2 linked regions of the Saccharomyces cerevisiae S288C genome follow. The protein of the gene in region 2 interacts with the protein of the main gene of each other region in a biochemical or structural test. Each region holds a gene or a part of one and is shown on either strand. Other genes may lie near its edges.

What was found. Proteins that work in one complex are often made in the same cells at the same time.
Region 1: the proteins of PEX10 (region 2) and PEX2 form a complex in vitro, tested with the Saccharomyces cerevisiae proteins (one study listed by BioGRID).

Annotation. Positions count from the first base shown.
Region 1 is NC_001142.9:35,109-38,234, reverse strand, and holds PEX2 (ubiquitin-protein ligase peroxin 2), read right to left. Parts: upstream 1,317-3,126; coding exon 501-1,316; downstream 1-500. Other genes in the region: CBP1 (Cbp1p), read right to left, coding at 1-230; oligopeptide transporter OPT1, read left to right, coding at 1,986-3,126. UniProt on the Saccharomyces cerevisiae protein: E3 ubiquitin-protein ligase component of a retrotranslocation channel required for peroxisome organization by mediating export of the PEX5 receptor from peroxisomes to the cytosol, thereby promoting PEX5 recycling.
Region 2 is NC_001136.10:997,013-1,000,377, reverse strand, and holds PEX10 (ubiquitin-protein ligase peroxin 10), read right to left. Parts: upstream 1,515-3,365; coding exon 501-1,514; downstream 1-500. Other genes in the region: E3 ubiquitin-protein ligase HEL2, read left to right, coding at 1-274; palmitoyltransferase AKR1, read left to right, coding at 2,055-3,365. UniProt on the Saccharomyces cerevisiae protein: E3 ubiquitin-protein ligase component of a retrotranslocation channel required for peroxisome organization by mediating export of the PEX5 receptor from peroxisomes to the cytosol, thereby promoting PEX5 recycling.

The sequences.
Region 1 (3,126 bases), on a different chromosome or scaffold from region 2:
AGTAAGCTATTTTCTTGTTTCCGAAGACTTTTGTAGTCCGCCATGTCAGACCAATATTTCCGTATTTTCAACTTGTCATTGTCATTTAAATTCGCATTTGCTTTGATAAGGGCCAAGACCTGTTTTTGAATTGGATCCCTGCTGCTGTGGTTGATTCGTCGCAAGGTCCTGGTAGGTACCATTTTTATAAACCTCTCGGTCCTGTACCGAACGAGACGAGGTAAAAACATTGCATGGAAAGGGAAACGTGCAAAATGCAAACTACTGCTATCCTAAAGTGCTCACTGTTTATTATTACTGGATTTCAGACGTCGCTTCCCACATCGTCCCGTACAGCGTTCCATGATGATATTATACCACTTCTTTATTGTTTCTTTTTTTTCTTGAGCAGAAAGTGAAAAAAAAAAAACCAGACCCTTTACCACGTGACCGATTTTGACAACATGAATATGAATATAGTATACACATATATAGAGATACAAGCGAGGGAACGGGGCCCTTTAGTACACTGGTGAGGCGGTCAGTCTCCCAGAGGATCCACAGGCATCGCACATAGACCACTCCAACGCCTTTACAACGCACACGTAACAGTAGTTCGCACGACAACAAGCGATCTGGTATGGGTTGGTTGGAAAACCGCCGCAACGGGGGCAAACTGTCTTATAAGTAGTCGTAGAACGAGACCTTGGTGGTTTTTTAACAAAGGTCAAGAGTCCTCTTTTCGTAAGTAGTGTATTGGAAAAGAGTTCTAATAGTGCATTCCATAGCAATTGTCTATTCTGGTATTCTAACCCAGCGAATACAGAGTTCGAATAAAATTCAGAGGCAATTGCAGAACCATCCCGAATCAACCTTGTGGAATGGACATTAAAAGCCCGGTATAACGGCGACAAAAACGCCCTCGCATTGGGCCCTTCCGCTGCTAGAAACCTCAGGAAGTTGGTTACATCACAGCCGTGATACAATAAATTAACCCATTTGTACAGCTTCAGCCACATCATCTGGTTCCCACAGTGCGGCCCATTAAAAATAATATGTGTGATCTTCTTCCACACGTACCCTGCCAAGACAGTGACGACATACAAGGTGCGTTTCCTGCACTGAAAAACCACGCCACTGAGTGCGGATCCATACGTACAGCTAGAGCCATAGTGTGGCAGGAACCTCGTCGCGCACATAAACACAACTGTGTTCAGTGCCAACTCCCATTCCTCTTTGTGTTCACTCGTATTGAATGCTGCATTGAACTCGGACCAAAACTGTCCATACAATTCTTTATCAAGCGCTATCGAGTCGAGCTGTGCAACTCGAGACATGCTGCGTTGCCTTTAGATTACGTCTTCTCAGTTATCTCGGCAATCTCTCCTCGTTATGCTTTCCCTCCGTCTTCACTCATCCCTTATAATGCGTTTCCCAGCAACCTTATCGATAGAATGGAGGGGAAATCGCATCCGTTCCACTCCTCGGATCGATACTAACTTCCGAGACGTTGCATCAAAGGCCAAGACATGGCATTAGTCACCCTTGTTGCAACGATAGACGCATACTACGGACCCCTCAAACCTCCCTACCTGCCCGTCGCTATCGCATTAATTTTCTTTTTTTCCACTATTTTTCCGGCCCGCCACACCTCCGACTACAAGACGCCACATCTACGTTTTGTCACACAAAATCCAGGACAATAGCCGTCTGCAAGGCACCAAGGTTTTCAGCAGTTGCTTGTTGCTGCTGCCTGTTAATCACATCAAACCCACTGCAAGGGCAGTCGATGGGTCTGTAAACGCCTTAGCAATCGTTGTTGAAGAAAGAGAGCTCTTATCATCATGGGGTGCCCATCATTTTTCTTTTTTTTTCAAATTTTGGGCTATTCAATGAATTGTTTCGACTATATATGGACAATCATCGGAAGCTGTGTATTCTTGGTAAAAAGTTTTCGACTGTGTGGCAGAAAATAACCGCAACAATTATATAACGTCACAGAACACATGAGTACCATTTATAGGGAGAGCGACTCGTTGGAGTCGGAGCCCTCGCCAACGCCAACAACCATTCCTATCCAGATCAATATGGAAGAGGAAAAGAAAGATGCTTTCGTTAAGAATATTGACGAGGACGTCAATAATCTCACTGCGACTACTGATGAGGAGGACCGCGATCCGGAAAGCCAAAAATTCGACAGGCATTCCATACAGGAGGAAGGTCTCGTTTGGAAGGGCGACCCTACATACTTGCCCAATTCTCCATATCCTGAAGTGAGATCGGCGGTGTCCATCGAGGATGACCCCACCATCCGCCTCAACCACTGGAGAACGTGGTTCTTGACCACGGTGTTTGTGGTAGTTTTCGCCGGTGTTAATCAATTTTTTTCCCTGAGATATCCATCGCTAGAGATCAACTTCCTTGTTGCACAAGTTGTTTGCTACCCAATTGGTAGGATACTGGCTCTCTTGCCCGACTGGAAGTGTTCTAAAGTGCCATTTTTCGATTTAAACCCGGGCCCATTTACCAAAAAGGAACACGCCGTGGTCACAATTGCCGTGGCGCTTACTTCCTCTACTGCATACGCTATGTACATTTTGAACGCCCAGGGAAGCTTTTACAACATGAAACTTAATGTCGGATATCAGTTCTTGTTGGTTTGGACATCTCAAATGATTGGTTATGGTGCTGCAGGTCTTACCAGAAGATGGGTCGTCAACCCTGCAAGCTCTATCTGGCCTCAGACTTTAATTTCAGTGTCCTTGTTTGATTCGTTGCACTCGAGAAAAGTTGAAAAGACAGTCGCAAATGGTTGGACGATGCCCCGTTACAGGTTCTTCTTAATCGTCCTTATCGGATCGTTCATCTGGTATTGGGTACCTGGATTCCTCTTTACCGGTCTGTCCTATTTCAACGTTATCCTATGGGGGTCGAAGACAAGACACAATTTCATCGCTAACACAATCTTTGGTACTCAAAGTGGTCTCGGTGCGTTGCCAATTACATTTGACTACACCCAGGTTTCCCAAGCCATGTCCGGCTCTGTTTTCGCCACACCATTCTACGTCTCCGCCAACACCTATGCATCAGTGTTGATATTCTTCGTCATAGTGCTGCCATGTCTTTATTTTACGAATACCTGGTATG
Region 2 (3,365 bases):
TTTGGAAAGTAAAAAGGGTTCCTCTTCTACTTCTCTAAATAATAGCAAAGATAAATTGAAAAGTCTCAACCTACCTCAACTACCTCCACCAAAGCCAAAGGTGCAAATTCCAGGTCTGAACAGACCCCAAATTGCTGATCCTAAGCAGTGGGGTAAAAAGTCAAGCACACAAGATACTAACGTGCACGATAATTTGAGGGAATTGAACACAACTAGTGGAGGAAATAAAAAGAAAGGCAAACAAAAGCAGCTGTTATTCCACATTGGTGTATAGTTGGAAATATATTTCTAACCTGTAACTGACAATAGCATTAGAGAAATGAAAGTCTTAAATAAAATTCCGATAAAGAAAAACTTATTTAATTAATTAATATAATTACAAGACTAAAAAGCATTATTTCCCCTTCGCGTTTTACTTCTCCTGCTCAGACGTCTGCGTTATTTCTGAAAAAGGCCTGTGGACAATGCTAAAAGAGTAGTCAAATTATTGATTAGTTCCTCTATTGCCGCAGGACCAGAATTTCCTGTGGTTGACAGTGTTGTCTGCACAAGGGGCATTCTGGCCTCTCTTTACACCAGCTCATAAGACAACTCCAACAAAATAGATGTCCACATGGCGCGCAGCTAGGATCACTCATGTTCATGAGACATAGGATGCATTTTCTCGAGGCTTCTGGAATAAATGGCAATTGGTTTTTATCTGACAAATTTATATGAGTCAGCTGCGATTCCTTCGGTATGCCTTCTATAGATTCATGTTCTGAACGCTCCTGTAGACCAACAGACGACCTAGTAATTGAATCATTGGTCCTTTTTCTCCCATAAATCCAGGACCCGAGCGTAGAGGTTAGGACAGGGTACCATTTCATAACATTTTGAGCTAATAGGATATAACCTAATACTTTGTACTTTTGTGAGCCCTCTTCTCTAAAATTGGCCTCATTTTTTGACAATATATGTTTAAAAACATATCTCATACCAAAAATCCTTTTGGAAATACTGTAAAAAGCTCCTTTGAAATAAAAGAGGGTCATGTGTACGTCTAAAATGAAATCTAAAAGGCCCTTACAAAACGCGGCAACACTTTCAGTATCTTCAATTTTACTTTCCTTGTTGTTCTTCATTATTTTCTTGTATAGTTTGGTGATGAAATATGGACATAAAGGATAAGCGAAAGCGAATACAATCATTTTGAGCCGTCCTGCAAGTCTGGTACCCTTCCTATTAGTGTATGTCAAGTCAACATATTCCTCACCTAACGTTCTACCACGTCTTCCTGTAGTAAAGAGCAAATACAGGAGCTTGGCAAATATGGACAGTTCCTTAGGGTAAGAGTTAACAAACAATTGACTCTTTATCAATTTGCACAATTCAGTCACTTTCATAATCAAAAGGCCCTGGATTTGTTCATCTTTTTGATGCGCTTGTACTATACTTGGAGCATCGGCAAATGGAAATCTTAGCTGCGATAGTCGCATAAGTGCTTCCTTTTGCAACTTATTATCATTCTTCATTTTGGTCCTCTATTGTATGACCCCCCACCGATGTAGTAGTGTCTGTTTCTTTCTTCGATGTGTAGTGTGCTTTATTACCACTACCTTATTTTTCTAATGTAAACGGCTAATACCTACTTCGCCCTCTCAGATTATCACGGTGGGTAAAAATTGTGATAAAACCGGCTGATTACTTGCAAGAAGATGCACATATGGACAGCTCATGTAGCTGTTGAGACGTTATCATTGTTAGAACTTTGGCTCCTATAATATTATCAATTCACGTTTTGCTGCTTATTCCTCCGAACGACTTTTAGCATTGGGTTACTCTGATCACAAACATCCGTACCCTACACTCCGGGTGATAAAGCCAGCCCATTGTTTCGTACTTTCTTATTACACCCTCATATTGAACGATCTATAAAACGAAGTAATGTACAGACACAAGTGCAAGCGAGGAATATATACGGTCGATTAGTAGATTACAAACCACGAAGTAGAATATATCATTTCCGTTTCGTCTAGATAAAAAAACACTTCTTTGTTCAGAGTAGCTAATTGATGGTGAACGAATTAGAGAATGTGCCACGGGCGTCGACCTTGACGAATGAAGAGCAAACGGTTGATCCTAGCAATAACGACTCACAGGAAGATATTAGTCTGGGTGATTCTAACGAAATTACTTCGTTGGCATCATTAAAGGCTATCCGATCAGGAAATGAAGAGGAAAGCGGGAACGAGCAGGTGAATCATAATGATGAGGCCGAAGAAGATCCTCTGTTAACTCGCTACCATACCGCTTGCCAAAGAGGTGATCTAGCGACTGTCAAAGAAATGATACATGGAAAGTTGCTCGAAGTTAATAACGACGGTGACTCTACGGAACATATCACTGGTTTGCATTGGGCAAGTATTAATAACAGACTTTCTGTAGTGGATTTTCTAGTTTCACAAGGCGCTGATGTCAATGCAAGGGCTGGTGCTTTGCATGCCACACCATTACATTGGGCTGCAAGGTATGGGTACGTGTACATTGTCGATTTTTTGCTTAAGCATGGAGCTGATCCCACCATGACCGATGACCAAGGTTTCAATCTACTACACTTATCTGTGAACAGCTCAAATATAATGCTAGTTCTATACGTTTTATTCAACGTTGTCAGCAAAGGTCTTTTAGATATAGATTGCCGAGACCCAAAGGGCAGAACTTCACTACTATGGGCTGCTTACCAGGGAGATTCCCTAACTGTAGCAGAATTGTTGAAATTTGGTGCCAGCATAAAGATCGCAGATACAGAAGGATTCACCCCACTGCACTGGGGCACTGTAAAAGGGCAACCACATGTACTAAAATACTTGATTCAAGATGGTGCAGATTTTTTCCAAAAAACGGATACCGGAAAAGATTGCTTTGCTATTGCTCAAGAAATGAACACTGTGTACTCACTTAGAGAGGCTCTAACACATTCTGGATTCGACTACCATGGTTATCCCATTAAAAAATGGTTCAAAAAAAGTCAACATGCTAAGCTCGTTACATTCATAACGCCATTTCTATTTCTAGGAATCGCATTTGCTCTTTTCTCTCATATTAACCCTTTGTTTGTAATCATTGTCCTTTTTTTATTGGCCATTGCCACTAACAAAGGCTTGAACAAATTCGTTCTGCCGTCATATGGACGAATGGGTGTCCACAACGTTACCTTGTTAAGGTCACCTTTGTTATCCGGTGTTTTTTTTGGCACTTTACTTTGGGTGACTATCGTTTGGTTTTTCAAAGTTATGCCTCGAACATTTTCTGATGAACAATATACTAACATCCTAATGCTGGTAATACTTGTTTCTGTATTTTACCTTTTTGGGCAGCTTGTT